Xenopus tropicalis: one gene and its partner. The protein of the gene in region 1 binds, or shares a complex with, the protein of each later gene. Links are inferred from orthologs where the notes say so. Each region holds a gene or a part of one and is shown in the gene's direction. Other genes may lie near its edges. The genes, in order: rbm15b and wtap.

Evidence for each region.
Region 2: rbm15b (region 1) and wtap share a complex: the UniProt entries of both Homo sapiens proteins name them as parts of the WMM complex. The link is inferred for Xenopus tropicalis from reciprocal best matches to the Homo sapiens genes RBM15B and WTAP.

Annotation. Positions count from the first base shown.
Region 1 is NC_030680.2:127,339,641-127,356,413, reverse strand, and holds rbm15b (putative RNA-binding protein 15B), read left to right. Parts: upstream 1-8,819; 5' UTR 8,820-9,265; coding exon 9,266-11,626; 3' UTR 11,627-14,722; downstream 14,723-16,773. Other genes in the region: manf (mesencephalic astrocyte-derived neurotrophic factor precursor), read left to right, coding at 1-44, 144-328. UniProt on the Homo sapiens protein: RNA-binding protein that acts as a key regulator of N6-methyladenosine (m6A) methylation of RNAs, thereby regulating different processes, such as alternative splicing of mRNAs and X chromosome inactivation mediated by Xist RNA.
Region 2 is NC_030681.2:44,099,822-44,116,405, reverse strand, and holds the start of wtap (pre-mRNA-splicing regulator WTAP), read left to right. Parts: upstream 1-5,939; 5' UTR 5,940-6,246; exon of another isoform or gene 6,247-6,264; intron 6,265-6,464; exon of another isoform or gene 6,465-6,608; intron 6,609-11,170; 5' UTR 11,171-11,176; coding exon 11,177-11,206; intron 11,207-11,315; coding exon 11,316-11,371; intron 11,372-12,769; coding exon 12,770-12,828; intron 12,829-14,701; coding exon 14,702-14,829; intron 14,830-15,949; coding exon 15,950-16,128; intron 16,129-16,349; coding exon of another isoform or gene 16,350-16,524; exon of another isoform or gene 16,525-16,584. Other genes in the region: sod2 (superoxide dismutase [Mn], mitochondrial), read right to left, coding at 2,223-2,251. UniProt on the Homo sapiens protein: Associated component of the WMM complex, a complex that mediates N6-methyladenosine (m6A) methylation of RNAs, a modification that plays a role in the efficiency of mRNA splicing and RNA processing.

The DNA of each region.
Region 1 (16,773 bases):
GAAGCTAAAGAAGAAAGATGGGCAGATCTGTGAGCTGAAGTATGGTAAGTGCATAGGGCTGATACTGACAGGGCGCTAGGGGCACAGCTGCATTGTGTGAGCTTTTATTGGTTTCTGACTGGGTTTTTTATTCACTCCTACAGATAAACAGATTGACCTGAGCACAGTGGATCTAAAGAAGCTCAAAGTCAAGGAACTGAAGAAGATTTTGGATGACTGGGGCGAGTCCTGCAAGGGCTGTGCTGAGAAATCGGACTTTATCCGCAAGATTAATGAACTGATGCCTAAATACGCTCCCAATGCAGCCAATGCACGGACTGACCTTTAAAGCGCTATCCTGTGGATCTAGTGCAAGAACTGATCCTCTAAACTATAGACCCAGCCAGCAGACGTTCCTCTAATATGGTTATCATTTTTACTTTTTAAGGAACAGAATTTTTTTTTCACTTTAGTTCTGTTTTCTTTTTTTTTTTTTTTTTCTTTTTTTTTTGTAAAAGTCTGAAGACTCCCCCAGATTGCAGGAATATGAACCCTGCAGTCAGGTGGGACACTTTTGTTTGATACATTTGCTTGTAACTTATTGGTTTTCTCTGCGCTGTCTCGGACAGTCTTGCAGTACGGGGAATTTTTATTACCTCCATGTTACTTTGGGTTCTTGTTGAGTGGCATTTTTTCTATGAAAATAAAAGGATCCACTCTGCCTCTTGCTGTGGTGAAAAAAAAATGAATGAAGGCAAGAACTGCGTTACAGTTGCCCCCTCTGCTTCATATCAGGTGTCACGCAGCTGGATGAGCAATAAGGCAGACTGGGGGAAAGGCTGGGCTTTTGTACAGATGTCCCATTGTGCTAAGCACACAGCTGCAGGCTCCACTGGTATAGAGCAGGTTACCTAGTGTAATCAGCAGTATTTTGCCCCAAGAGGAAAACTCACACAGGGTTCTTTTGCTTTACACATTAGCACTGAACCTCTCTGGCACCCTCCAGCTACTGGAATGTTCAAAAACAGTGATAACACATTTGCACCTGTCTTGCTGTTGAAATTAAACAGTTTTGTTTCTACCTCTGTCTGAAACCAGATTATTTTTTAGGAGGTTATGCTGATATTACAGTGTTTACAAACGTTTTGTTTGTTTTGGGCATTAAATGGTTACATCAATGTGTGCATTTGGGTAGAATATTTCAGCTGGTGTTAGGATATAATGGTGTATGGATAACTCGCATCTGTACAATTATAGCTATTTTTATTTTGTAACCAGAAACTAAATTCATCCAGAGCACAATTGCGCTACCAGCAGTGCAAGAGCCAAATTTCCGGTTTAAAAACTCAACGCCTAAAGTTACCAGGAGTTGCTTTTTGCTGCCCCTGGCAACCTGCAGGGAGCTGCCAGCAGAGGTGAGTTTCTGAACTCATGGCAGCAGCGCCCCTGACCGTATCTCAGTGCTGTACAATGGCTGCTTTCACTCTGTTCACCTGTGCACTTAATTGCAGGGCACCAGTGCCAGATACAATACACCCTCAGGTACAGAGAGCTTAGTTTGGTTTTAGCCAGGTTTCTTTTTCTGATTTTCTCAAGCTCTCTTTCCTCTGGTATGGTACCTATGGACTGGAGGAAAGCTGATGCAATTCCTACATTTAAAAAGGGGTTAGGATTTAAATTTGATTGTGTGTTATGATGAGATTAGTAAGAAGTTGTACAGGGGGTGCAGTAGTTCTGATCTATTTGGATTTTGATACAGTGCCTCACAAATGACCGCTTTCTAAACTAAGGTCTGTTGGTTTTTAATAAAGATGTTTGTACGTGGTCAGGAAACTGTGCCCAATCCTGTAGCCAAAGGGTGGCCAAGTTGGTTACTCTAGAGAAAAGGTGCTTGTATGAATATATAAGGGGACCATATAATAATCTCTCTAATGCTTTATTTACCAGTAGGTCCTTTCAGCAGACATGAGGGCACCCATTCCAGTTTAAAAAAAAAATAAAAAATCTTCCATCTAGATATTCAGAAAGGATTTTTTTACTGTGAGAGCTGTGTAGTCGTGGCATTCTCTCCCTGAATCAGTCGTGCTGGCTGATACATTATATAGCTTCAAGAAGAGGTTGGTTTCCTTTTTCGTAAGTGAGGGAATACAGGGTTATTGAAAATATGCTATACATATGAACCAACTCGGGAAGAGACCTGCCTAAACTGTACAATCTGAAGGGCCAGGTTGGGAAACCCTTGCCTTAGTTGGATTCTTAATGGGAACATATTGTAAAAAACAAGTTTGGACAATTTAGCAAACACCTGTTCAGCTTTCATATCACAGTGCGATAGTGGAATGTAGATACCAGTGATTCCCATTAGGGAGATGGAGGTGGGAATAGCTGTACTGCACAATACTTTTATAAGCAGATGGCTAGCATCGGCTGTTCAGCACAGACATGTAGAATAACCCGAGGCCTTTCAGGTGTTCTAACAATAAAGCTGGCTTTAATAGACTGCAGATTTAAGATCTTTATTCTAGTATAACCTGCATGACACCAGGTGAGCATTTATTACTGACCTAGCCCTAGGGCATGGAGAGGCAAGAAAAGGCCACTCAGTATTTCCTTTATTACCAGGGCCAGAACTAGGGGTAGGCAGAAGAGGCAGCTGCCTAGGGCGCAACGATTGAGGGGTGCCAGGCAGCCTCTCCTGCCTACCCCTAGTGCTACTTTGTCATTGCCTCTGCCGCTTGTCATTAGTGGCGGAGGCAATGACCGATGTAATCGCCCCACCCCCACCCCCTGCACCTTCTCCTGTGCTTTGGTGCGCATGCGCCATTTGGGGGGCGGGGAGGTGGGCGGAGTTGGCCGACCGGGTTGCCTAGGGCGCCCGGTCGGCTTGGCCCGCCCCTGTTTATTACAGTTTGAATTAGTTGGGGTGCATAGGCTTTTAGGCTGTATCAATCTGGCTTTTAGGCTGTATAAATAAAGTAACTTTGCACTTTATAAAGCAGGTGTGAGAAATTGAGCAGTGCTAGTGGCATACAAACCTAACTTGGAATCATTAGCAAATGGTGTGCCCACCTAAGTATTTGCTGCCCATACACAGGTAGATTTAAGCTGACGATTCGGTCCCTTACACTGAAAAGTTGATACAGAACAGTTGGCAGCTTTTCTATATGGGCCCTCTCCCATTGCCTAATATCCAAAATCAGGCAGATAGCTATTGGACAGGTTACAAATTCCATTGGAACAAGGACTGGATCTTTGCTCAATATGCCCACCTTGTGCTTGGTGATATTGGGATGGTCCTAGGGCTAAACAATCAGATCACCCCGATATCGCTTAGCACAAGATCTCACCAAATGAGCAGATCTTCATGTGTATGGCCAGATTGAGACTGCTTATTCTGCTGGTAAGTCCTGGGAAACCACTCTACAGCTGCCAGTGGCACTGATGCCATTTATTCAGTGCAAGTAACTGGTATGCTATAGTGCTACTAATAGTATCTGCATGCTTTCCAGTTCTCTGCGTTTGCAGCTTTTTGACAATGAATATCAAGAATATAATTGCATGTCTCAGTCTTTTTCCTGTATCCACATAGAATCAATATCGGGACTTGGGCTTTTTTTTTTTTTTTAAAATATGTAAAATAAATGCTTATTCTTTTCTAATAAACTGGTGCTCAAAGGTAAATTTGGGGACAGTTCTTACTAGTTGACTGGGATAAGAAGTCTGCTCCATTGTGTCCAGCAGGTGGCACCATATATCACATCCTTTATAGAATTTTGGTCTAGCGCCTATATTGGAGAAACATTGGCATTACACAAATTTCAGACATAGATTGCCAAAAATTCACAATTTACAATTTCCATTAGGAAAATGCATCCTAATTGCCCTTCAATAAGCATCTTCTGCCCCTGTTTAGTCTATTACAGATAATCAAGATCACAGGAGACCTCTGTGCCTACTGCAGATATGGCCAACCTGCAGACCGATAAATTACAGTACAAGGAAAAAATCCTGTCCAATATTGAACAATAGTTATTAGCTAAACAGGCTTCCCACTCTTTCGGGAAACAACCAGTTGTATGTGCCAGTATGGCTTTATAAAGGGAAAGAATTGTTTTCCTTCACTATTCTCTGGGTTAATAAATGAGCACCATGGTCTTACTTTCATTATTGTGTGAATTGGGCAGGATTAGGGAACCATTTGTCCCTAGAAGTGGGTTGTGGGCAGGCTAAATATGCCACCACCTGACCGCTTCCCTACCCTTCTCTGCACAATTTCAAGCCACACTGCTGATAGGGTGGTGTTTGTTTATATCACCTTGACCTGCCGATGATGTCAACAGAGTGAGTAGGACACAGGTACATAAATGGGGGGAGCAGGTTTGTGTGGATTCACAAAGCATGGGTTAAGTTTATGTATGTCTTGACCTGCATATGTACAATTATATAAAATGATTATATCAAGCTAAAGCTCTGCTGTTCTGGCAAGCAAAATCAATAGGGACAAGTGTGGAGGTCTATTAGAATACTCCGCTCTTTGCCTCCTACACTTATAAGAGAGTGGTACTCTGCATCCATGACACTTTTGAGGCCACTACAGGTGATACAAGCTGTATAGGCCATCGGCTCAGTCCCTGCCTCAGGTTGGAACGTCTGGAAGCCCACTCCAGTAGACCGCACTAACTTTGCGATGGTGACTCAGTGTATAGAACTTTGTGGTTAAAATGTCCGCCAGAAATATCATGGCATTTTTGCAAATAAAGCTAAGTATTTTTATTCACAGTACTTAGGCTCTGCGCATTGTGCCATCCAGTTAGCCATCTTTAAACTCTGCGTCCTACACTTCTAATCCTTGCTTATAATTAGAAATTAGTTCATTTAGCACCATTCCATTTAAATAAATACTGTCGTGGGAAAATATTTTTTTTAAAAAACGCATGAGTTATTAGAGCATCTCCAGCAGAATCCTGCATTGAAATCCGTTTTTCAAAAGAGCAGATTTAAAAAAAAAAAAAATTTTTATATATAATTTTGGAACCTCATTCTTCATTTCTCAGGTGCACTCAGCCATGTGACCTGTGCTTTGATAAACTTCAGTCACACTTTACTGCTGCGCTGCAAGTTGCAGTGACAAACACCCCCCCCCTTCCCCAGCAGCCGATCAGCAGAAAAATGGGAAGGGAGCAAGATAGCAGCTCCCAGTAGGTATCAGAATAGCACTCAATAGTAAGAAATCCAAGTCCGGCTTGGGACTCCTCCAGTTACATGGGAGTAGGAGAAACAGAAACAATAGGTTACCTGAAAGCAGTTCTAATGTGTAGCGCTTCTGAAAGCTCTGACTCAGGCACAATGCACTGAGATGGCGCCTACACACCAATATTACAGCTAAAAAATACATTAAAGGTAGAATCAATTATTTGCTATGTTGTTAGACTGATCCTGTATCCTGCCCCGGCCTGTGTTGGCTTATATCAAATGTTTATATATATATTTGGGCCATAATAGAGCAAATCCACTCTTGCTTGTACAGAGTAACAGTTCTGCATGTTCTTTCTGTTCCTCTGTACCTGCTACGTTCTTACCAAACCTATCCTGATGGCCACCAACTCGCTACAACTACTAAACTGGCCCATGGAGTCATTTGAGGGAGCGTGATCTGGGCCACAGTAAAGCCTTGCAAGGCCTGATAACCTGCACAAACAGCAATAAACACAGCAGATTAATTATAGGCAAATTATGAAAACTCTTGAGACTCTGCCTTCTTGAACACCAAGCAGTAACTGAAAGTGGTAAACAGTCTGGGTTGTACTGGCCCTGTGCGAACCTTTCATTTCTCCGAATGTTCCATTCCCTGACCCCCCTGAGAAGCACAGGCTTGCATCACTAATGTGCATGTAAACTGAGGACGTACGGGGGAGAATATAAAGCTGTATATAGTGAATGCATACGTCACCTCATGGAGTTCCATGACCATATAAAAGCACAGGGCTGAGAGCTGCCTACTTTTATACAGGTCATGGAACTCCACGTTGACTTCTAACATCCTTGTATTTTTCAACAGGGGGTACCTTATTTATTATAATACACGTTTCATTAAGCTATGTGACAGAAATTACATAACTAAGCATTGATTATAACTGATGCCATCACTAAGCTCCATTTATAAGGATATCATTTACAGGATATTCATGGCTCTTGTGTATTATATATGAATATATATCAGTTGGCCCTTTTTTAATCTCCCCAGTATATTGATATATAATACAAGTATTTCAGTGCAAAGTCTTCTGTTGGTATGCTCCTCAAACAAAAATTCCACCCTTCTCCCCCTTATTGAGGAAAATGGGTACTTCAGGGTATATATGGCAGGTTCTATTTAATGTTCAGCAACCAAATGTGGTGTCTGATACAGTTCCACCTACAGTGTTCACTTATTCTGTGTATGACCTTGGCCTGTTTAATCATTAACCTGTTTTCTGTAATCCTTCCCTTGGATCATTTTTCTTGCAGTCTACCCTTTCCTGTTATTATCCTATTATTACATATTAAACCACCATTATATAATATGCCCTGTTGTTTAGATGCCCTATGCCTAGACCATCAAAGACCCTGTTTAGTTATTCCCACTTTCTCTATGGAACCTCAGTGATGTTACAGCACTCTTGGGAATAAAATGGGGTTCACTGGGGGTACTTCTGCTTTAACTCCAGATGTTCTAAAACATAGGTAAGGCATCTTGAGAGTCAGGAGAAGAAATTAAGGCCAGAGGAGGCACGTGCCTCCCTTCTATAATTCGGCAGTGGCTGAATGAGTGGTGGCATTTATTGTGCAGGAGGTGATGCAAATTTTGGGAGGAGAGAAGGTTGGAAGAGAACATGAGGAGCAGTGGGAGGCCCTTGGTGCCCCCTTTCTTTGGTTTGACTCTGGCCAGCATTCAAAGCAAGATAAAATCATACTAGTTCCAGTTCCTAGTCACCATTTAGATGCATGCATGCAGCCACTATGATGCTATTCATACCTACTCCTCCATTGGCACCTGTGCTGCAAAGCCCCTGTTGTTGCGGTGACAGCATCTGCCCAACCTTATATACCAGTGCCCCAGTGCTATGATGGTCATTCTCAGACCTGTTTTCTAATCTTTGTTATTATAGTTTAATTTTCCAAAGTGCCATATATTATAGTTTTACTTCCTGGCAAGGTTGACTTGGGATTTACCTCACTGGTAGAAAGAGAAACTGTGCACTTTGCTCATGCTTTTAGGAGGGTCTTTGATGGTCTCCCATAAGCCTTCATGAGAATAGTTTTGTGCTTAAGCTTTTCCTCGAGAGCTCATTGTCATTTGGGGTTGTTCCACTCTAGTTTCTTCTGATCACAAGACTCTTTAATTTCTGATTCGTCCTCCTTGTTTGGTGACCTACCATAAATGGACATTTCCCTTTTTATTACTGTCTTTAAAGCCAGACTCTGCCCAGTAATCCAGAACTTTACTGTATGGTCTGCAGCAGGTTTGTGCTAATTTGGAACAATATGGGCTTATAGACCAATGTTGCCTCTATGTAAAGGTAAAATAACTCTTCTGTTTGTAGTAGACAGTTTTTCCCTTGAAGAAACTCTTCTTCTTCTCCAAACTGGCTAAGGTCCTCATCAAAATATCTAGGGCAGCCACATGACTTGTTCAGAGGGTTCAGATTTGGTTTGGCCAAACAATTGGCAGTTGACAGTTCTGTCTATCCACTGCTACTGTAAAATCTGCCTTGTTCTACAACCATTATCCGCCTGCTGACCTATCCCTCGCCTACACAATCCAGTTCACTGCTCAGAACCTGCTCTGTTGGTCTTCTATGCAATCCAGCCACTTTTGGGAGGCTCCCCTTTCAATAAGCCTTCATTTTTACTTTTTTATAGTTTTTGAATTGCCTTCTTCTTCTGAATATTTACAGCTTTCAAATGGAGGTCACTGGCCCCATCTATAAAACAAATGCTCCGTAAATCCACAAATGTATTATTATTGCTACTTTTTATTATCAATCTTTCTATTCAGGCCCTTTGCCTATTTGTTTTCGTCTCTCATTCAAATCAATGCATGGTTGCTAGGGAAATTTGGGCCCTGGCAACCAGATTGCTCAAATTGCAAACTGGAAAGCTGCTAAATGAGAAGCTAAATGATTTAAAAACCACAAATAATAAAAAATGAAGGCCAATTGCAAATTGTCTCAGAATATCACTCTCTACACCATACTAAAAGTTATTTCAAAGTAAACTATCCCTTTAGGCTGATGCCACACGTGGCGTAGGGCTGACTTTTTTGGCAAGAGGAAAAACGCTTGCCGAAAATTCAGCCCTACACCTGCTACTTGTGCCTGCACCCGAATGAATGGAATACGCTCGGGTGCAGGCACATGTAGCCGATATACGCATGAAAACGCGAGAGAATGCAAAGTCTCACGTTTTCATTGGCTACATGTGCCTGCCCCCGAGCGTATTCCATTCATTCGGGTGCAGGCACAAGTAGCAGGCGTAGGGCTGAATTTTCGGCAAGCGGAAAAAATCAGCCCTACGCCACGTGTGGCATCAGCCTTAACGTGTGATGAATTATAACAAGGGCTTTTAGGAAGAATCCCTGCAGCCCAGAGACAAAACTTCAAAGTGAAAAGATGCACAACTACCCTACCATTCCTTATTGGTTATTATCTCTTCATGCTCCCACTACAAGCAGGTATGTACCCCTCCTGCCTACACAAAGCCATGTTGTACCTGCCCAGCACCCAACCTCCCATGTTACACCTACAGCCCCAGCATGATGGGGAATGATCACACAGCAGGGTGTTTCTTATTGGATAAAGTTTTATTGTTTATGTATTTGTTTATACCTTTCAATATTCTTCTTTCATTTTGACTTCCAAACGCCCCTGGTTGCAAGGCCAAGTAACCCATAGCAACCAGATTGTCTTAGCACTTCCTGTCAACAACGTAATAATTCTTAATTTTAAGTTTCCTCACCGTTTACTCAGCTAGCAGGTTACAGAGCCATTATTACACATTATAGTATCACCCTATTTACCCCTGACTATCCCAGTCAAGACGTTGGAGAGACTCTTCTGACGGCGGCCATGGCCTTTCTGCCCCCACTTGCCCCCCACTTGCCCTTGCTGCAGGGAACCTTTGTGATGCATTTAGAAGTGACAGTCTCTGTTAGTCAGAAGTGACAGGCGCTTTGGGGGCCCGCCGGCGGCCCATGTGACCCTCCGCGCCACACCCTTGCTTGCGTCACCGCTCCCGGCGCCCCCTGATGACATCACTCTCCCTCCCCACTCATTGTGGAAGATGGCGGCTGCACAGTAAGCGCGCCTCCCCCGCGTGTGGTGACGGAGCGGCGAGCAGCCAGCAGCGGGACGTGAGCATGAAGCGACAGAGCGAACGCGGGGAGCAGAGCCCCGGCCGCGCCAAGAGAGCCAGAGAGAGGCGGGAGGAGGCCGGAGGGGCTCACCATAAAAGTTCGGGAAGGCGGGAGAGGCCTAACCAGGCCGGGGCCTCCTCCTCTTCGTCTTCTTCCTCCTCCCGCCGGCCCAGAGATCCGCCGCCCCGGCCCCTTCTACTGACCGCTCCGGCCGAGGCCCCGGGCCTGGAGTACAAGACGCTGCTGATCAGTAACCTGGGCTCGGCGCTGCCCGACCCGCTGCTGGAGGATTGGCTCTTCCGGCACTTCCAGCGCTTCGGAGACATCAGTGTGAAGCTGTCACACACCCCGGAGCTCGGCCGGGTCGCCTACATCAACTTCCGCAGGCCGGCAGAGGCTCGCCAGGCCCGACACGCCAAGGTACGGCCGGTGCTGTACGATCGGCAGCTGCGTGTGGAGCCGGTATTCACTCAGCAACCGACCCGCCGGCCTGAGCCTTCCCCCCTCTCCCTCACCTCTCTGCCCAGCTACCCCCGATCCACTTCCCCCAGGCACCTGCTCCTGCCCTCCTCTCTCACCTCTACAGCGGCCTCTGGGGATGGCTACTACCCACTCTATGAGGAGAGAGTCCGGGGGGCCACCTACGGTATGAGCAGCACCAGTACGGCCGACGATGAGCAGCTGGCCCCAGAGGATGACCACCGAGCCACCCGCAATCTCTTCATTGGCAACTTAGACCACATGGTGTCGGAGGTGGATTTACGGAGGGCATTCGATAAATACGGCCCCATAGAGGAAGTGGTGATCAAGCGCCCGGGGAGGGGCCAAGGAGCGGCGTACGCCTTCCTCAGGTTCCAAAACCTGGACATGGCCCATCGGGCAAAGCTTGCAATGAGCGGGCGCTTGTTGGGGCGCAATGCAATGAAAATTGGCTATGGGAAACCCAACCCGAGCACACGACTATGGGTGGGGGGGCTGGGCCCCAACACCTCTCTCGCAGCGCTAGCTCGGGAGTTTGACCGCTTTGGGAGTATCCGTACAGTGGATTATGTCAAAGGAGACAGTTTTGCATACATCCAGTATGAAAGCTTAGATGCCGCCCAGGCGGCTTGTACGCAGATGAGGGGCTTTGCACTGGGAGACCGTAGGCTTCGGGTAGACTTTGCCACTGTGTCGCCGGACGAGGCTGCTGCAGCTGCATCTCGCTATGCTCCTCTTCAGACAACTCCATACCCTCTGCCTCTGCCCTATGAGTTGTTGCAACCTGAAGCTTATAGCAGGCATCGTACTGCTCTGGACCCAGATCTCAGAGTGAGAGATAGGACCCCTCCGCATCTTCTATACTCCGATCGCGAGAGACCGTTTGTGGAAGCCGGCTGGGTAAATTCTGAGCGGCGCAGCTCAGGCCAAGGTGCACGGAGCAGAAGTGGGGACCGTGGGGGTGGAGGTGGTGGGGGCAGCAGTTCAAAAACACGGGAGGAAAGAAGGCGACGACGCAGCTTGTCTAGCGACAGAGTTCGGAGTAGAGCCGAGAGGAGCCCAGATCGTCAAAGGAGGGAGCCTCCGGAAAGAGACCCTAGTACTCCTCCATCCCCGCAACACAATCACAGACCTTCATCCCAGGACAAGCCCCGGCCCCCAACCCCTGACCCGCCCCAGCCCCGCAGGAATCACCATCCTAGGCCTCCTGAGCCACCTGCTGAGCGGCAATCCCCTGGAGTGGAGAAGGGACGGACGCTGCCACCTGTGTGGTGTGGGCATTTGGTACTTAAAAACAGCTGTTTTCCAACCTACCTTCATTTCTTAGAGGGTGACCGTGATGTGCCAGGTGCCCTACTCAAGGACCGTTCTTCTACAAGTGGAGGCAGCCTGGCACAACTTAAGATTGCCCAGCGACTCCGGCTTGACCAGCCTAAGCTTGAGGAGGTCACCCGTAAAGTGAGACAGGGCACTGCCGGAGGCTATGCTGTACTTCTTGCCACACAAGCCCCACAAAATGAGGGGGCAATACCTGGGGAACCTGGCTTACAGCGCCGCCTTCTCAGGAACCTGGTCTCCTACCTAAAACAGAAACAGGCGGCTGGAGTTATCAGCCTACCAGTGGGAGGGAGCAACAAGGGCAGGGACCCCAGCGGCATGTTGTATGCATTCCCTCCATGTGACTTCCACCAGCTGTACCAGCAAAGTGCTCAGCGCCTTGTGGGCAAGCTAGAAGAGAACATGATTATTGTGTTGGTGAAAGACAGCGCCTAATCCAGAAGTCACTGTGCCCAATGGTGCCCTGTTAGACTGTCCTGTGCCTACACTGTCCTCTCTCTGTTATGGATTTCTGAATTGATGGGGGCGGGCAACCAAAAATATGGGGGAGTTCAAGTTAGGACTGAACTGAGTGGAATAAATCATGTATCACTTTAGTTGTGTAAAAGGTTCTGCAACCTAATTTACAAAGTGTTTTCTAACCCTGTTAGCTGTCGGTGTTCCAATGCACGGCAATGGCTATTGTCACAGGTATATAAGGCAGTCAGAAGTGAGGAATCATGGGAAGGTACCACCACCCCGCTCACTGTAGTCTCTCCTCCACTTAGGGCCCCCTTTTCTAGTCAAATTCCAACAGTAAACTTGCTGCTGGACAGATCCATTTTCCTTTTGTGTGCGCGTGTGTGTTATTTTTACATCCTGCCCCTTAGTGTATTCTGCTCCCTAGCTCCGTAATCGAGCACCTTAGAAAAGCTTTGTGTTTTTGGCTAGTTCATAGAGTTTGTCACATTGGGGATACTAGTTCTGTTTTTAGGGTTTGTGTGCCTGTGTCCTGGAGACCTCAGTAGTCAGAGGATCCCAAGAGTGCCTTATGTACATGTGACACTAGTGCAGCGTGTTCTGTCACTGAGCGTCCCTCTGGTGGCTGTGTATGTGTGAGTGAGAGATGTGGGGGTTGCAGGGCTGTTAGCAGAACCCATGAGCCTGATTAGTGGGATAAAACTACCTGTTTATAATCAGAAGCAGCCTCCTAGGATCAAACCCTGCTCATTATTTCTGCTTAATGAAGCTCGTTATGTGTGTGTGTGCGCGCCGAAGGGGGACTTAGGTTATTACCACTACCTGACTGACTAGTAGCTGGCAGTTTGTGTTAAGGCTGAGTATCTGTGTGCACTGCATCTTCATTATTAGTCCAGGAACTTAGCAGGGGTTAACTTTATCACTGCCCGGAGCCAACACAACACTGTTCTTATGTTTGTTTACATGTGTGCAAGCGTATGTGTGTGCATTTTACATATATTTAATGAACACGTAAAGGTGTACCCATTCTCCAATATCACAATCTGTATGTAATAGCACATCTGGCGGTTCTGTGTATGTATCTTGCACGCACATACTCCGTAGGTATGTATATATTGCTGAACCATATACATGTGACCAAACAAGACTTCTCTCACCCTCTTATAGGTGTGGAATGACAGCACTCAAGTTAAAAATCAAAGCATATTCTGCTATCTATGGGGTTATAAATACCAATGTATGTAGAACCATTTTTTAAAAATCCAGAAAGGCGATATATATATATATATATATATATATATATATATATATCTATACATTCAAATTTCTGTTCTAGAAATACATGCATCAACAGGCAGGATGAACTAAGCGCAGCTTGGAGATATAACCGTGGGCGCCCAAGGGTTTTGCCATAGACATTACCACATGTTTGGGGTGTAGCTTGGGGATATAGGAGCCGTACTATGCAAAGATAAAATAAACAGTAGAGGGAGGAAACACTAATCTTCCATCCATGTTCTTATATCCAGCCCGTGCCATGTGGGGGTTTTACCAGCTGCAGTTTGGGGCTTTTTGATGCATGTATTCTAAATTATTATCTCTCTAAAATGTTGCCTTTAATATATTTTTTTTGCTTTGTGTACATTGTTGGCAAAGCTGATGGCACAATACAGTTTCTATGGTTTGTACATTACAAGAGGAGCATTGCTTTATACGTTATGTTTTGATATTTAATTTGAGTGTTCCCCCCATCCCCCCCCAACATTGTGTTGCTAAGATACTCATAACAGCTATCCTTAAGCTGGCCTTACACTAATAGCTCCACTTGTTTGGTACCCTAGCCAAACTAGTGGATCTTTGCCCAGTTTGTTCACCTATCTTCTGGGCCAAACTGGGCTGATCGGATCACTTGGCCAACAGTAGAATCCTAATAACGGCTTATGCACACTTCTCAGGCCTAGCACGACTATTTTGAAATCTGCCCAGTAGATATGTGGCTGAGTTTCAGGCAGAGATCTATCGGGCAGTCAGTCCATAGCTCCCTTACCCCCCTACATTTACACCAGACTCATTTTATTTGTTCCCTGTTTAACTCAAGCTGGTTTTTTGGTTGGGAGCCAAGTCTTTCTTGGCTTGTCCTTGTTTTATCCCGAAAGGTTCTGTGCTGCTGGATGGGTAGCTGATAAGGTCCTGAAGATGCCTTTGTACCCAGAACCCAAGCTCCTAGTATGTAATTACATTTGTTTAAATCTTTAACATGTATGTTTTGGTGAATTTCCAACCCCTTCTCTCCAGTTAGAGGCTTTGGCCTTTATTCTCCCCCCTTCAACCAACAGAAAAAATATGCATTTGCTTTTAGTGGCTTTTTATGTTTCTAGGGAGCCAGAGTGTCCAGAGGCCAATATGTTCCGAATGTAGAGAGAGAAATTTAATAAATAACACTGAATTTTCAAGACCACGTGTAAAAGGCTGAAAGTGTTTCAGATGCAACAAAAAGCTCAGCACAAGCCCCAGTACTTTATATATAATTACTCACACCCACACCAGCCTGCTGGCCATTCTGCGCATTCAGTTATTGCCGCTGACCTCTAACCAACTCCCCTTTTTGCCCATTTGGCTCTTAAGCATCAAGCACCTATGGTGCCAGCCTTATGTGCCAACTGTGCCAATCATCAGCGGGGCATCAGATGCGCAAGGAAGGGGGAGTTTTAGGTGCGTCAGTGTCAGTAACTCTCCAGGGTTTCTTTATATGGCCAGCATGTGGCTAAAATACACAGACACAAAAAACACTTTTTCATTCAGTAGACCAGGTTGCTGGTCCTGGCCTCATGTTTTAAGGTAATGGTAAAAAATAGGGTATTACTCTGTTACATAATGTGTCACAAACTGCATTTCTGGTGTCTGAGGAGAGAATATCCTCAAGGGGCACCTATTCTGTCTGTTCTTGTACAGCAGAAAAAGAGGCTGTTGCTGGCCTCCTAGTGCAGTGCTGTTGCTGCACACCTTACTCTCACATCCATTATTTTGCCAAGTGCAGTGCATCAGTACAGAGAAAATAAAACACATTTCTTTTACATCGTTTATGTATAAAAAGAATTGCACCACCGAAATGGCTGCACAGCTCCAGGCTTTAAACTAAAATGTCAGCCTTTTGGGTTCCTGGGTTTGAGGCAAATCTATGTGGTGTGTATTTGATGCGGGTTTGCAGACAGCCGTAAGGGAAGGTAACATGTTCTGTACATTGTTATGGCTGTAAAGTGAGCTTTAAAGGGTAACTGTCATTTGTCACTTTTTTTAACCACATATGGTACCCAAGGTTTATCCTAGACTGTAGGCACTGTGCCAGGTACCCAAGGTTTATCCTAGACTGTAGGCACTGTGCCAAGTACCCAAGATTATAACCAAGACTAAAAAAAATAAATATATAAACGCACAGCCTTACTGCTCACATGGCACGATGCATCAATCCCCAATGGCTCACCGCCTGGCCTTTTGGAATATCGCAGAAAAAGAGGAGAGCACCTTCATGCAGGTTAACTGCTTCAGCCTTTATTGAATAAAGGCTGAAGCAGTTAACCTGCGTGAAGGTGCTCTCTTCTTTTTCTGCGGTATAGCCTAGACTGTAGGCACTGTGCCACTTAGTGAAGGTTTATCCTAGACTGTAGGCACTGTGCCACTTATTGAAGGTTTATCCTAGACTGTAGGCACTGAACCAGGTACCCAGTACCAGGTTCCCCAGGTTTAACCTAGACTGTAGGCACTGTGCCAGGTTCCCCAGGTTTAACCTAGACTGTAGGCACTGTGCCAGGTTCCCCAGGTTTAACCTAGACTGTAGGCACTGTGCCAGGTTCCCCAGGTTTAACCTAGACTGTAGGCACTGTGCCAGGTTCCCCAGGTTTAACCTAGACTGTAGGCACTGTGCCAGGTTCCCCAGGTTTAACCTAGACTGTAGGCACTGTGCCACTTAGTGAAGATTTAACCTAGACTGTAGGCACTGTACCAGGTACCAAAGGTTTAATTTAGACTGTAGGCACTGTGCCAGGTACCCAAGGTTTAACCTAAACCGTAGGCACTGTACCCCGGTACCCAAGGTTTAACCTAGACTGTAGGCACTGTGCCAGGTACCCAAGGTTTAACCTAGACTGTATGCACTGTGCCACTTAGTGAAGGTTTATCCTAGACTGTAGGCACTGTGCCAGGTACCCAAGGTTTAACCTAAACTGTAGGCACTGTGCCAGGCACCCCAGGTCCAACCTACACTGTAGGCACTGTGCCAGGCACCCAAGGTTTAACCTGCACTGTAGGCACTGTGCCAGGTACCCCAGGTTTAACTTTGACTGTAGGCACTGTGCCAGGTACCCCAGGTTTAACCTAGACTGTAGGCACTGTGCCAGGTACCCCAGGTTTAACCTAGACTGTAGGCACTGTGCCAGGTTCCCCATGTTCAACCTACACTGTGCCAGGCACCCAAGGTCCAAATGAGCGTAACTGTCATTTGTCACTTTTTTGAACCACATATGGTACCCAAGGTCCAACCTGTGCCATTCTTCGCAAGGTATAACCTAGACTGTAGGCACTGTGCCAGGTAAGCCAGGTCCAACCTACACTACAGGCACTGTGCCACTTATTCAAGGATTATGCTAGACTGTAGGCACTGTGCCAGGTACCCCACGTCCAACCTACACTGTAGGCACTCTGTCAGGCACCCAAGGTTTAACCTGCACTGTAGTCACTGTGCCAGGTACCCCAGGTCCAACCTACACTGTAGTCACTGTGCCACTTAGTGAAGGTTTAACCTAGACTGTAGGCACTGTGCCAGGTACCCCACGTCCAACCTACACTGTAGGCACTCTGTCAGGCACCCAAGGTTTAACCTGCACTGTAGGCACTGTGCCAGGTACCCAAGGTTTAACTTTGACTGTAGGCACTGTGCCAGGTACCCCAGGTTTAACCTAGACTGTAGGCACTGTGCCAGGTACCCCAGGTTTAACCTAGACTGTAGGCACTGTGCCAGGTACCCCATGTTCAACCTACACTGTGCCAGGCACCCAAGGTCCAAATGAGCGTAACTGTCATTTGTCACTTTTTTGAACCACATATGGTACCCAAGGTCCAACCTGTGC
Region 2 (16,584 bases), on another chromosome or scaffold:
CCAGGCAGGTATGAAAATCTGATCACATGAGAATAGTTTGTTTTGTTAAGTCCTCTCCTGGTAGGTCTACTCTGGCAACACTGTGGTTCAAACATTGGTTTGGCTGGCCAGATCTGAAAAAGATCTGCTTACTTGGCACTTTAAGGGGCAGATTTACTAAAACTGGAATTTCCTGGCCTTGAAACTCGTAAAAACTGGACTTGGTATTTTTTTTAATAAAACACAATCATTCTTGCATTTATTAAATGCCACAATACTGTAGGGTAGGGTCAAACACAAATATTGAGTTTATTGTCCGAAAAGCACAATTTTTTCAAGCAGAAAAACTCAAAAAATTTGTGAAATTCAAATGGCTGTTCATTTCCATGAATCCTCTTTATTTTTCCCAAACAGGAATTGCTCCAGCTGCCATTTTAGGAGCACTGGTGCTCAATTCTTGGAAAACAATGTGTTTAGGTCCACTGTGTGCAAGAGAAAACAATGGTGGGATTAAGTTCCCCTTGAAACTGGGTGAAATAGTAAATGATGGAATAACTTTCCCTTGAAACTGGGTGAAATAGTAAACAATGATGGAATTAACTTCCCCTTAAAAAATGTGTGAAATTAAAAACAATGTTTTTAACTTCCCCTTTAAAATGCGTGAAATTAAAAACAATGTTTTTAACTTCCCCTTTAAAATGCGTCAAGGAGAGGCTGATTATTATTTCTCTACTATTCTGAGCCTCCATAGGACTCAATGGTTCTCACAAGCTTAAACCTTTTTGTTAGTCAAAAAAATCACGTACAGTTTTATAAATCTGTTTGTGGTTTTTATTAAAATATTAAGAATTATCTTGAATTTTTAGAGAAAAGAAAAACAAAACAATCATATACTGCCAAAAAACATTAAAAAAAAAATGAACCTTTCTCAGGAAACCTTAGGGGCTGATTTACTAAGACACGATTTCGAATCCGAATTGGAAAAATTCCGATTGGAAACGAACATTTTGCGACTTTTTCGTATTTTTTCGGCGTCTTTACGATTTTTGCGTAAAAACGCGAGTTTTTCGTAGCCATTACGAAAGTTGCGCAAAGTCGCGATTTTTTCGTAGCGTTAACACTTGCGCGCAAAGTCGTGCCTTTTTTGTAGCGTTAAAACTTAAAAGGCGCGACGTTTCACGCAAGTTTTAACGCTACGAAAAGATCGCGACTTTGCACAACTTTTGTAATGGCTACGAAAAACTCGCGTTTTTACGCAAAAATCGTAAAGACGCCGAAAAAAATCGCAAAATTACCGATCATTACGAAAAAAACGCAATCGGACGCATTCGGCCCGTTCGTGGGTTAGTAAATGTGCCCCTTAGTGTATGTATTATAATACTTTTCTTTGGCAGCCTAAAACTCTGAAAATCCAGAAACCATTAAAGATAGAAAGTGAATGTGAAGAGCAAAACTGCTTAGAAAAGCACATTATTTTACTGAAATAAATATCGCCAAGTGTTTTTATGACACAAAGATGACCAGTCAGCAATACCTTTGTAAGTACTGCAACTGAAACCCAATGGATCACAATGGATCAGGGCAATGGTCTGCAAATTCAAGAACTACTGAATTAAGCATAGTACGACCATTTGAACACAATGGAGTCCATTTACTAAAGTTTGGTAAATTGAATTCATTGCCAAATGAGCAAAAATATTTTTGCGGCCAAAGTAACACAGCCAGAAATTTAGGTAAACTCCAGTTACTGCTAGGATATTTGTAGTAAAAAGAAATGAATACATATGAATCATCAAAAAACTATATTAATCATTACCCACTTAGCATCATACTGTTAAATGAATTATGACTAATTATTAGCTGCTAGTTTGTTAGAATCCAACACTGGGACAGACTGATAAGTTATCTGCAGGGTAAAACAGTCCAACACTTCACCACAGGTACAAAAACAAAATAGCCCAGCGCTCCAATAAAATGCTATGTTTCTGCAATTGCAGTAACTTTGTTGGTGTTGGCTCCTTATTTGATAGAAGTTACCCAAATATCATACGGTACATATATTAGCTACTGCATAAACCACACTCAACTTGCTGTTCTATAGAACCTGCCTGCTACAAATAAGATGCTGCATCATGTGAGCAAACAGCACAGCCCATGCTGTGAATACCACACGGTGTGCAGCTCCTCTCCCTGTCCCACAAAGTCCTTAGGCTGCTGCTCCTTTATGGGAACCGTTCGCTCACCTGCCACAAACACTGAGCCTGCACAGCATGTCTGCGGTCAAGTGCAAGTTCGACAACGAAAAGGAGTCTGCTGGTTGCCCCCTGTCAGCTCCGTCAGTATAACTCTCTGCCCTTGTACCTTCTGCCCCGCCCCCTGCCGCCGATCTACTTCCGGGCTATATTATTCCCCTCCCACCCCTGCTGCTGTCACTCTCCGCTCGTTTCGGGGCAAGGCAGGTGGCGAGCTGTATTGTGTAACACTTGGCTGTTCTTTTTGTTGGAATGAGGCTATAGTAAGCAGAGGAGAATAGCGCTAGTCGATATGACTGGCACAGGGAGGACTAAACAGGGACGAGAGTAATAAGGAGAATACTACTAAAAAGTATATATTTTTTAATTTTAGTGAAGCAGGGGTTTTGCATATGAGCTTGTTTATGCAATATATTTTTAAGAGACCTACATTGTTTTGGGGTATAGTTTTCCTTTAATGTGAGATGGAATGGCTACTGTTGTAGGTAAGCCCCTGATATATGATTACCCCATGAGAAAGTGTCTGCCGGGTTTAGTTGTGCTTCATATACTTTAATTGATAAAGATGAATAACTGTGCACAACAATATTTAGAAATAAACAGATTCACCATGTAAATTATGTTGTAAGTAAGGTTGTTCGAAGGTTGTGTGTTCCTCATTGCTCCACATGCAGCCCTGAGCCTCTTCTGAAAGTTTCATTTTAAAATGGACACAAACCTCTCAGACTGTTGTACTTTCCCCATTGTAATACTTTTCAACTGGGGAGTGCAAAAATATTAAGCACCCCCCCCCCCCCCAACGAAATAGATCGCTAACTTTTTTTTTACCAGGCTGGTGCTGTTAGGACAGAAGCACACCTGCTGGTGTAAAAAACTGAGTGCCATGCAGTTTTTTTTTTTTTTTACCTTTCTACTGGTGTCCCAGACATTCCCTGTGCAAATTCCTTTCCTCCATGAGCAGTAGAATATACCTGTTAAGATTTACTCTACTGTACATGGGCAGAATGCAAGCACCTAGCAAAAAGATAGTAAGGTAATGAGATACAGGAGCTGCGCTCGTTTTTTTTCCCCAAAGGCTAGTTTAGTTCTCTCCTAACAGGACCACCAGCCTGGGAAAAAAACTTAGTGATCTATTTCACTGGGGGGTGCTTTGACCATGCCCTGTTATACCCAGTTAAATCCCCAATCTGTCCAATTAGGATGTGTTCGAAACTCCATGTATACATTTGGGAGACTACAGGAAAATGTGGGGAAGCTGACATCTCTGTGTAAATCACGTGTTCAGAGGGGATCTGAACACTTTAGTTTTCTTAAAATACATAGTGACAGAAAGCATTGTTTTGGTGTATTAAGAGGAAAAGAAAAAGATAACTTTTGAATAAACTTTAATCAGATGCATTTATTGATATTAAAGTTATTTGTAATTGCTATTCAAAGCAGTATCTATTTGTCTGTTTGTCTATGAAGATTCTCATTCATCCAGGTCATGATATACAGTATCTAGTAAGCGTCTTCCCCAAGCGTCCTCCAGCTCCCCCAACTCTCCCCCCCAGCATTCCCTAACTCTCCCACCAGCATCCCCCAACTCTTCCCCAAGCGTCCTCCAGCTCCCCCAACTCTCCCCCCCAGCATCCAACAGCTCCCTCAACTCTTTCCCAAGTGTCCTCCAGCTCCCCCAACTCTCCCCCCAGCATCTCTCAACTCTCCCCCCAGCATCCCTCAACTCTCCCCCCAGCATGCCCCAACTCTCCCCCCAGAATCCAACAGCTCCCTCAACTCTTCCCCAAGCATCCTCCAGCTCCCCCAACTCTCCCCCCCCCCAGCATCCTCCAGCTCTGTCAACTTTCCCCCAGGCCTCCCCCAGCTCCCCCAACTCTACCCCCAGCGCCCACCTGCTTCATCCAGGAAAGCCCTGGAGCTATAAGCGCAGGGGCTGCATGACAAGGGATCCAAATAACCAGCAGCCAGATTACACTGGTTTATGTTTAGAGATTGGAGAACTAGGTTCAACTGTGATTAGGTGAGAAGGAAAGAATTAAGGCAGGAGAAAGCCGGCCTGGGGGGCGGAGAAAATGAGAGGGATGTGATGTCAGAAAAAGAGGGCACTCACGTCCGTATCTTCTGAGGAGGAAGAAACATCCCACCCACCCTCCCTCTTTTTGCATATTTTGCAAAATGTCAGGAATTTCTCTTCTTTTTGATTTCATAATATCTATTAATAACTGAATCTGGATGTTTTCCTGAATGCATTGTTATATTGTGCTTTCTCTATCTTTATACGGTATAAGGATATAGGATATCCTATCATCAAGACACTGCAGATCCAGGACCAGCAGCAGGGCTGCTGAACTTCACTCATGGTTGGTAATGCAGCTCCTGCTGGTATCAGAGTTTCCTCTCTGTAGGTAGAGGCAGTCTAATACTCATTCAAGTCTTCAGCGAGGAACGGCAGAGCATAGTATCGACCTCTTATGAAATTATGGCTTAAGAATATTGCCTTGGGTTAGGCTTGCAAGGTCCTATTTATTTGATAAAATGTGAATAAATGCTGTGGCCATTTTCTCCACCTCTGTCTCCTGTTGTTTCATTAAGGTATGTAACAAGGGGGTTCAGTAGGGTGCCTCAAGGCAAAGGGTCAATTGAGGAGTCCCCTTGTCATGCTCTTTCTCAGCGTCCCCCTGCTCCTCCTCCAGCTGGCCGCTGCTTGCATCCTCTGGCTCACTGTGTCCTCACTTTTAAAGGTTGCGCCCTGTGCATACTGATGTCACATATACGCACAGGGCGCGACCAATCAAATTACCCGCTGACCACCAATGAAAAGGCTCGTCATTTTTAAAGGGAACCCGGGCTAAAAAAAAAAAGAGGTGTATCACGGCGGGGCCCCCATTGGCGCGGGCCCGATTGCAGCAATAGGTCCAATCGGCCTAGGGCCGGCCCTGTATTCTACAGAGCGTATCGCCTATGTTACCTGTGCCATTTAGGGCAGTGACACACAGGGAGATTAGTCGCGCTGCAACACAATTTTATTTTGCTCAGTCTATGTATTTTGCCTAGTTTTGTTTTTACACTGAACTGCTCCTTTAAAGCACTTCATTTTTGGTGTTACTGGTCCTTTAAAGCTTTACATCATAACTACTGCAAAATGCTCCAGTGTTTACAAAAATAGTGTTTTTTTCAAGGTTACATACATACAGGTATCGGACCCCTTATCCGGAAACCCGAATTACGGAGAGGCCATCTCCTTGTACTTGATCCTAACTAAGATATAATTAATCCTTATTGGAACAAAACCATCCTAAGGTAGGAGATCCAAATTACAGAAAGACCCCTTATCTGGAAAGCCCCAGGACCCGAGCGTTCTGGATAATGGGTCCTATACTAAATATCAGTAAAAGTTCTAAATGCAACTTGCCTTTAAGTTTGTGTGTGCAACTGCTATTGCATGGCATGGGGCAGCCAACTTGTCTACAAACTGTCCCTTGTCCCTAAAACATGAAATCATGCCAAATATATGAAGTGAAAATTGGCAATGTTTTTACAATTATAGAGTTTTGAATAAACAATTTTGTATACATAAGGCACTTTAAAATATATATGTGTGTGTGTTGATATACTATATACACACTCACAAATATATATTACACATAAAGCACGTTTTCCTAATAAAATTTCGTGCTCCAGTTCAGTCAAGAGAATGCGTATCTCTCTCATGGCAGGGGGTGTGACTGAGAAATGACTCCCGCCTCATTTCCTCCGCTGCCGCCATTTTGTGTCGGAGACATCTAGAGGAGGAAGAGACGAGAGAAAAGCAACATTCGGAGACCTGATAAGACTGACCGAAACTACGAATTTGCCTGTAGCGATTTAAAGTCGCACAAGCCATATTAATTGTTGCCGGTGTCAATAGGAACTCTTTCTCTGAGCACCGCGGAATTGCGAGTACCAGGACAGGAGCCGCCCGGGCTGCGCAGCTCACTCACCGCATAAGGTGGGAGGCAGAAGCGGAGAGGACACGGTGGGTTTGAGTTGTGAGGTATTAAGCAGAAACCATGTGCTAGTTTGTACGTTTTGGGACTATTGGTGACTCAATCTCTTCTGTGTATGTGTGTGTGTGTGGTGGGCACCAGGATTGTCTGTATCTGTTCCTTCCAAAAAAAAAAAAAAAAATGGCGGAACTCGGAAGGCTGCGGCCTTCTCGTGACTGACCTTAGAATCGGGGCTGTAGTTAAAGGAGAGGGCATTGCAGGAAATCTGCAGCTCCCATCCGAGGAGGGATGTACGTGACTTAGGGATGTCCAACTGCAGTCCCCGCTGGGATTAGTCGGAGTGGTGGGAGCTGCTGTCGCAAACGAACATAAGCTGAAGGACTTCCCTGATGTAAATTGAAAATAACACGTTAACCTTTGTCACTATGCTTTTCCAAAGGCTCTGATAGTGGAGAGGGGCAGTGAAATTCACCCAATTACCGTGTTTCCAGTTATATGCAAAGTATATGAGCAGTCACTTGTCTGCCAGTGAGCAGGAAAGCGCTGTACAGTTACATGGAAGTGAAACTACTGGATGTGGCAATGCTTACAGTTTCACATGCTGCTTTTTTGGAAGGAATATAATTGGGGAAAATAAATGAGAGACCTCAGCTTATTTAAAAGTGCACATATTTGCAGAAGCCATGTTTGTTAGACATTTTGAGACCCCCCCCCCCCAATTTTCCCACCATTTTGTTTATAAATACTCTGCTTTACAAGCAGAATAACCTTTGTTCATGTAAATACAACATTTTAAAGATTTGGTTACTAAAGTAAGTGAAGCAAGGTGACTTAAAAATCCTAGTTCACATGGGAGTTTGTTTTGCCTGTTTGTGCTTTATTCCATGCTGTGATTGCATGGAGTACTAACTACCCTGAGAGCAGATGCTGCCCCTATGGAGGTGACTTGCAGGTATATGCAGCAATATGTGAAAATATGTTGCACATATAAGCATTTTTACCTGTGTCCCATTGTAAGTTTAGTGATTGTTTCCAAGAGAGTACAGTAAAATGTAGCCTTGCTAGCACTGTTTGTGTTTATTGGCTGGAATCTTTATCCAGTACTTCTGAGGTTTTCACTTGCCACATAGACTTCACTTCTAGGTAATCTTGATTCTAAGATGATCTAAATATTTAAATTATTTTCAAATAAAGAATTAAAACAAGAAGATTAAAAAAGAAATGTCAATGCCATTAAACAATAGAATTGCAGTGATACTACAATAAATCAAATCTTCATGCAGTTAGCATATGATTCACATGGAGCATCATACATGGCATCTTCATTAGATTCAAAGATGAGATGGTTAATCTTTATGGAAGATAAAGGGTAGTAGTACCAAAATACCTTTCTGTTGCTGGTAGTTTGTTATATGCTGTCAACCAGCTGATGCCATGTCCCTTAGAGAATTGTTTTTTGACAAACATTGTAATTGTGGAACGTAGTTATACTCACTGGAGAACCAGGAAAGCCCTGGGGTATCAACGTGAGAAGTCCAAGTGTCCAATAAAGCTCTGAAATGCATTGCATATTACAGGTATTTTATGTTAATGTTGCATGTGTAACACAACATTTTTTGGTGTATAGATGCTTATAGTAAGCCCACACATTTTGTCAATATAAATTGGAAGCAGTTTGAATCCATCTGGTGTTATTGTTGCTGTGGTTTGACTAAGGGAAACATACTTTGTACAGTTCTCTTAGCTGATTCATAATGCATGTTTTGGAGGTAGACAAGGTATCGGACACTATCAGCCCACCAGTTTTTTGGTTTTTTTTTTTTAGGTTTTGACACTTTCATTTTGGAATATAATAAACCTGAGTGTGTTTCTTGTTAATTCCTAGTTATTGCCCTGCAATCTTGTTAACCCTCCTGGTGCATTATTAGTCATTCTCAGATCTATGTTGCCATATTAGATTTCATTTTTATTCTGCGAAAGTAGAGTTAAAAGCAAAATGTTTAACATGATCTTGTTGGTGACATTGTTTTTTTAGTTATAGAGGAGTGAGTAAAAGTTTTGAGAAAGCTGTCATGCAGTCCTGCAAAGCAAATTAGGTTAGCCCTCTCCTGCCTTTTATGTGGAAAGTGCCACAATTGCCTCTTTCTTAGTGCTCTTTTTATACAGAAAGGGCATGTTATATCTTTGATGATATTTCCTGATGCTGGCAAGCAACAAAAACTGCTCATGAAAACATTGTAAATATCAATATAGTTCTGTAGGGAAAGGGATACAGAGTACATACACTTAAAGGCTTATTTTGGCATGCAGGGAATCAAGCTAGAATGCAGTTTAATATGAAATCATTGTGCATCACATTCGCACACTGGCTGCCTCAAAAAATGGTTAAATTCTTAGTGGCCAGGTCCTCCCATAGTTTATGGTTTTTCACTGTAGTCTACTTGAAAATGCACAGTTTGTGCATTTTATGCATCAGTTAGCTACTTGGTAAATAAATATGTAACCGGATACAGTGTACACTCAGTTATCATCTTAAGCCACACTTCTTTCAGTCAGTAGTTCAAGAGATACAGGCTCCTGAAACCATTGGCAGATCCAGGTGTTTTCTCATGAACTGACAGCCATACCAATCAAGTAATTCTAATTGATTAGAATGATTTTACTTTTCTCTCTAATCAAATAGTCCAGTGTACTCAATCGCAACTTAACTTCATGAATCCATATTGGTGGCAAAACAATCCTGTTGGGTTTATGTAATGTTTCATTTTTTTAGCAAACTTAAAGTAGAAGGAAAGGCTAATTCACTTGGGGGTGCCAACATGTTAGGCACCCCCAAGTGACTTTAACCGCTTACCTTTTACCCCGGACTGGTGCCCCTGTTAGGAGAAAACCTCACCAGCCTGGGGTTGCTGCGAGTATAGTGAAAAGCCGAACTTTAACAACGCTACAGGTACACCGGGCTGGTGCAGTTTTCTCCTAACAGGGGCACCAGCATGGGGTAAAAGGTAAGCGATTAAAGTCACTTGGGGGTGCCTAATATATTGGCCTTTCCTTCTCTTTTAAGGTATGGTGTTCCAAATTACAGAAAGATCCCTTATCTGGAAAAACACAGGTCACAAGCATTCCATATAATGGATCCTGTACCTTTGCCGTCTGTACATTAAGGAAGTAAGCAAAGTTAAAACATGCTAGCTTCAAGGTCCTTCTCTACCCTTGAAACAACAGACATCCTTAGTAAGCCACCTCATAAATTTAGCGTAACCTTCTTTTTACGAAGACACATTCGCATTATGCCAGAAAGTTTAGCAAGTTGCCAGAGTACAGTTCTTGTGTAAAAAAATGCTTTGAAACTTCTAATAGAGATCAGTGATATTCAGCTAAGTACAAGCCCATGTGGATATTCACAGTAAAACTTATTGTATCAGACGAGTGAAATTTTTCATTATGGTTTCAGAATCCTATTATTGCCTAACCTAAGCCACACAGACCTATAACCACTGGAATAGAGGAACAAAAAATTGGTACTATTATCTTGGTATTTGAAATCATGTGACTTGTAATACTCATTTGTTACAGAGGCACCATGTGCCAAACCGTTCTGTTGACTGATATTTATTGCTTTGTTGTTTATGACTATTGTCCTAAAGTAGATCATGGTGTTAAGGAGGCCATTTGTTGGCTAGGCCTCCATAGAATCCAATCAGTTAACTAGATAGGGGCTATAACAGGGAATACAAAAGATTAATGGAAGTTTTTAGCCATTATCTCACTATCTGTATTTATTATTATTTATTTGGGATGACTGCCAGAACTATCAAAACTACAGCAAATGAAGATGAGTTGTAGCGCCACTTCATTTGCTCGTCTGCCAAGTACACCTACTGACATGGTACTTTAGGTAAAGTTTTAAAACCAGTCCCTGACCTGGCATGCAGGCATAATCTAGCATGATATCTGGCAGTATGGTTGATCAGCTAAACTGCCTGACAGAATCTGGGCATGTAATGTAAACCCTCTCCCACCAGTATACGCAGGAGTATCTCTTGTCAGTTTTTGCAGACCACCTCTGCCCAATGCCCTTCTGAAGATTTCATTCATTTCATTCTAATCTGTCAAACAAATTTTCAACTGAATTTATAAAACAAACTTTTTTTAATTGTGTTGCCTGTTTTTCTGGTGATTTGCCTTTATAATTATACAATCAGAGGTTTATATTGAGGTACAGGTTTATGCATGCATAGTATTTGTTTTACTGTTGTAGAGCTGGGTTTTTTTTTAATTGATGGTGCAGCTGGTGGACAAAATAGTGCAACTCCAAGGACCAATCCATTGAGAAAAACAAGGTTCTCTACTGATAAAAAAGTATAATGCCTTCACCCTAATCTGTCCTTTCTCTCTCTTATACTTTCACCCTAAGATGTCCCTGCTGAAGCGAGCAACAATAATAAGAGCATTAGTGAACAAGCACACAGCTATAAAAGCAATCTGTACCAAGCCCATACTACACTTAAGATGTAAAATTTGTCATTCTGCATACAGTTGATATGTTGAATATCTTTTGTCTCTTTTCTTTCTGAAAAATCAATAAAATTAAAATTACAAAAAAACAAAAAATGTGATACTTATGTGCAAGTAAGATAGTGTGCATAAACCAATTAATATAAAATGTTTGGGTAATACTGAATTCATTGTTAATTTCCCAGTACTATAATAACATTTTTGCAAACACCAGCTGATATTTTATTATCGGTAAAATATTTAGATGTATGTGATGTGGCCATACATGACCATATACGGTGTTAATATTGTTTGTGCAGATCTGAACAGCAGGAAGTGTCCTAAATTCATTATTCTACCATTCATTTTGTCCCCTCACTTGAGATGAAAAAAGCTTGGTGTTTTCAAACAAATATCTGATCATTGAATATCTATATATATATTTTTGTTATTCAGGTCACCATGACCAACGAAGAACCTCTCCCAAAAAAGGTAATATTTTTTTTTTTGCTTTTTTTTTTTTTTTTTTTTCCCATGTCTTTTAATTCCACCGATATTGCTTAAAACCTTAAACTAAAATAAATTTATATAATTTTTTTAGGTTCGTCTCAACGAGTCAGACTTTAAGGTCTTACCCAGAGAAGAGCTATTGCAAAGGTAAATTAAAAGACTGGGCAGAATGCATTTCAACACTGATTCTGTTTATTGTGCTCGTTTTTAGAAAAGGTACCAGTCCAACTCACCACAGCCCTTTAGTAGTGATGATTTGTTCCCCCAAAGATGTCCACTGTAGCTTCCAATATTCTGTACAAATGTTTTGCTATTATGAAGTCTTGACATTAGAGGTGCAGTAAACTCCTATGTACACCTTTGCTAAAATAATGCCAATAGTTACAAATTGTATAAATTTATATTTTCCTTTTTTTGCCATTGGAAATGTGATTTCTTGGCGCACACACAGGTGGGGTAGGGCAGGCAGAGTATGTCACACACAGGCAGCATAGGGCAGGCAGGGTAGGGCATGTAGATTATGGAACACAGGGGCAGCATAGGGCAGGCAGAGTATGGCACTCATGGGCAGTGTGTGCCATACTCTGCCTGCCCTATGCTGCCTGTGGGAGTTGAACCTAGCAGAGGTTTGTTCTGGGAGTCTGTTAGCAGTTGGAAATAGCCAATAAATGGTCCCTAAGGTGTGTAATAATGTGCTGGGTGTTGCTGCGCTATCCACAGGGGAGAAGGAGGCATATAGATTTAAGGGTGTGTCTTAACATGACATAATTTACTTCTTTCACGTATGAATGATGGTTGATATCCCTGCAGTGAGCACCAAGCATTTGGGTTTTTGCTGCACTACCACCATTAATGTGGGCATGGTCTTGTGATAACATGGGTGTGGTTTGAAGTGGGTGAGGTTTAAAAATAGGAGTGGTCAGAACTGGCTTCCATTAGCGGCCCTCCACTATGTATGCTAGAGAAATTCCGGCCCTCTGCACCACATAAGTTGGACAGCACTGAGTTAGGCCATTGGTTTAAACAAATATAAGGTATGTATAAACAAACCCTTAGCCTTTGTTAGGCTTTGCGATAACAAGCAGCTAACTATACAGGGGGCTTATCTGTGAAGTAGTTATTTGTTTTACTAGTTTCTCCCCTGCAAACTGTGACTCAGCAGTGCCAAAGTGAAATGGGGTTATGGCTTAGGGCCATGGTGGACGGGGAGATTAGTCGCCGTGCGACAAATCTCCCCGAAATGCCATCCCACCGGCTAGAATGTAAATCGCCAGTGGGATGACGTTTCAGGGAGATTAGTTGCCCGCGACAAGGGAGATTTGTTGCGGGCTATTAATCTCCCCGTCTGTCACCACCTTTAATCATTTTATTCATAAATATGGTTAGAGATCTTGTCCTAAATATCTTTGCTAATTCACAAAGGTTGGTGCAGAGAGTAGTTCATGCACTTTTGAATGTGTAGTTAGTTGTTAAACCTTGCCACTTTAACTTCCCAGATAATTTATTCAGTATTTTAATTAGATTTTGTTTTTTTCCCACAACTAGGTGGAAGCAGTTTGAAGCATATGTGCAAGCTCTGGAAAATAAATACACAGATCTTAACTGTAAGTGGGAAATCATACTTCTTATGCATTAAAAAAAAATGAAGGTTCACATTTGCAGATGTAGCTACGTGAAGTAATACTTATGCTGCTTTTGTGCCATGTATGTTTCATGCAGAGAAATACATAGACTGATTACAGTTGTGGAGCCTTGTTTGAAAAGTAGGTTTTGTTTAGGGATACACTGAATTCATATTTTTTGAGTATTGAATACTTTTGTGTATGAAAACAATTTCTGCCTATGACTGACTTGTAATCTAAGGTTGTGATGTTAACTGGTTGGATTAGGACACCTTTCTAAAAGGTTTAAATTCAGTCAAATACAAGATCAGGTGTATCCCTAATTTTGTTAAAGGATAGTAAGCCATTTATTTTAAAAATCACATAAAATGACTTTAAACAGACCCCAAAATAACACCCCTTAATCCCTGCTTGCAGATTTATTTACTTTCCCTATTACCAGCAGCTGACCTGCACCTTTTACAGACTTCCTTGTCTAGCTTGAAGCTCTGCCCCCTTTTGCTTTTATTGAGCACTTCTCTTTACGACAATGAAGCTCAAAGAAGTGCCTACTGGGCAGGCTCACTGCCTCTGCACCAATTAAAATCAATCAGGCATACGCATTCAGCACCTTTTTGAGATTATCGTAGTCTGAGAGAGGAGGAGTGCTCAGAAAGTGGGTGAGCTTCAGACAAGGAAGTCTGTAAAAGACTAGTTGAACTGGCTGTAATAAAAAAGGCAAATCTGGATACATAGAAAAAGGTATGTTATTCCGAGGGCTGAATAGAGTAATTTTTACAGATTTAGAAGAAAAAAAAAAGTAATTCAGTTGTCAAATATAGTAATGCCTCATTCTATTACATAAATTGCATGAGGAGAAATCTTATTGTTATAGTATTTTATAGGTGTCTCTATTAAAAGCATCTATTCAAGTGGCTCAAATTATCTATTTTGTATGTTTTCTTCAATTGGCCTTTCTGGTTATCAGGGTTGAAGGAATAACCGTGTTATTGTTAATCTAATTTTTTATTGACACTGCCCTAGAAGTCTATACTTTGTTCAACCTCAGTTTAATAAACTAAACTTTTTGTTGAAATATTTCATGTTTTTTAAATTAAACAAAACTAAAATATATAGCTCTTTTACTTTCCTGCTTTTTGGTGTTTAGGAGCAACTGTCAGGTGGGAAATAAGTTTATCAACAATACCAGTCCACTGATATGTCTTCTGTTTAATGAGCTTCTCCTTACCAAATGCCTGACACAGATGGCAGCTGGGGGAATAGAGGGGTTTGTTTAAGAAGAGCTTTAAAGAAGATTTTTAAAGGAGAAGGAAAGTCATTTTGGCATTTTACTGCCAATATATTAGCCACATTAGTGCCACCTAGAACAATATATTTATTCTGCAGGAAGCTTTACCATACCTGAGTAAAGAGCCCTAGAAGCTCCCTCCGTTTGTTTAAGATAGCAGCTGCCATTTTAGCTTGGTCTTCATAGCTTCCTGCTGCAGTTGTAGCCTAAAGGAGAAATAGGTTTTTTTTTTTTTTTTTGCTTTAAAGGGTTAGTGGTCAGTGATTCCTGATAAAAGCTGGAAAGATGCAGATATGTAAGGCAAAAAAATAAAATAAAAAGACCAATTGTATGCGATTGCCTTGTCATAGGAAAAACATGGACTTTTATTCTAATTAAAAAGGTAGAAAACTGTTTAAACACAAGTGCTATTCATTATTTAGAACAAAGTGTATGTAGGTGTATAAAAGACCAACTGTAACGTATATTGATTTCAAAGACCTAAAATGTAATCTTGAAGTGAACAGTCCCTTTTACATTACACTTAAAGGTAAGCCTATTCCATTAAAATATTTTTAATGATTTCAGCTAATGATGTCACTGGACTGAGGGAGTCAGAGGAGAAGCTAAAGCAGCAACAGCAAGATTCTGCCCGAAGAGAAAATATATTGGTGATGAGACTGGCCACGAAGGAACAGGAGATGCAGGAATGCACGGTTAGTGTTGGCCCAGTTTTTTTTTTTTTTTTTTTTACTTTCAGTATAGCAATAAAGTAGACCACTTGGTTCACAGCATCAATGATGCATATTTCTAGCGTAAGTTTTTGTCATCAGTTTTCTTATTTCTGCAGTTAACATCTTGTGGGGATGAAAAACTTCTTAAAAAAAAAAAGTAGTATGTCAAAAATACTCAACTGGGCACTTTTGGGGTTTAGATTTATTTTTTCACATACGCTGACAGTGTCTACAGCAATTTAAGCATCCTCCCGAGTCATTAAATAATTTGGCTTTTTGTTATGCACCTGCAATAATTTTGCAGTGCACATCAATAAATGTTATAAAATTCACGGCATCAAAATGTAAAGTAAAAATTTCTTGTTTATTTAATCATCGCATCAACGCGTTTTGATCCTCATAGGATCGTTGTCAGGATGGGGAAGGGAAGTGAGGTGCAACCATAAATACAAAATTTATTTTGTATTTATGGTTGCACCTCACTTCCCTTCAATATCTCAAACCATTCATACTGATTATTCCTGACAATCTGCACATATATATATATATATATATATATATATATATATATATACACACAATTTTAAAATTATGTTCTTGATAGTGAAAATATTTTTCTTGTCAAGATTTGTATTGTAGGTTGACATTTTGTTTGATTAATCCTAGCCTAATGATGCCTTTACTGTCTCGTATGCTTTTCACATGTTATAGATAGGTGTATTGGGATTATGTCATGTGTGGAAGTTTAGGTGTACTGTTTCTAGTAATTTTACAAAATATTTATTTCATAGTGATTCTCATTTGCCTCTATAGAGCCAAAAAGGAGAGTCAAATGTGTTGTTAATCTCTGTATTATGTGAATATCACACATAGTAAGGAGCTGGAAGTATGTTGAGTTCCTTGCTACATCTAAAAATGCAAATAGGAAGAAGATATTCATTGATAAGTAGGAAGCATACAATTTAAACACAAGGCTTATGTAGTGGTTGGTATGTATTTTCTGTAACTCCCAGCAATTTGATTTTTAGTGCTATTTAGAGTACATTGCCTTTTGTGGTATTGCTGACATGTTTGTAACTGTCAACATTTGAAACCTCTGCAGACTCAGATACAGCATCTCAAGCAAGTACAGCAGCCAAGCGTTGCCCAGCTGAGAGCAACTATGGTCGACCCAGCCATCAACTTGTTTTTCATCAAAATGAAAGCGGAACTGGAACAGACAAAAGACAAACTGGAACAAGCCCAAAATGAACTGAGTGCCTGGAAATTTACGCCTGATAGGTAAACAAAACAAATACTCCCCAGTCAAGACTTCCCTGACAGTCCCACTACGAGAATGCTATGGTGGGATGGCCAAGTACTCGTTTTGCACACCAAGACTCAGACTCTTGTGAGCCAAAAAGCCACATTCTTACACTGTCCAGCTTATAATGCTTAATGTAAAACTTATCAGGTGAACCTTGTATTTCAGCTTTTTATTTTCCTCCCCTCATTTGCTTCAGAGGCCTGAGAGCGTCGGACTATTCCGAAGATGTGGCCACATCCGCCAGTGTTCCCATTTCTAGAACGCTTAGAAACTTGCAAAAGTGGTTCTGTTTGAAGAAAATACAGGGAGAAAAAGAAGTCTTAAGCATGGCACAATGTGTCGGCAACCATTTTGTGGAGGAGAGAACCTAGTGATTCTATTTTTCTTTTGATATAAATCACGAATTGAACATGTAAAATTCCTATAAAATG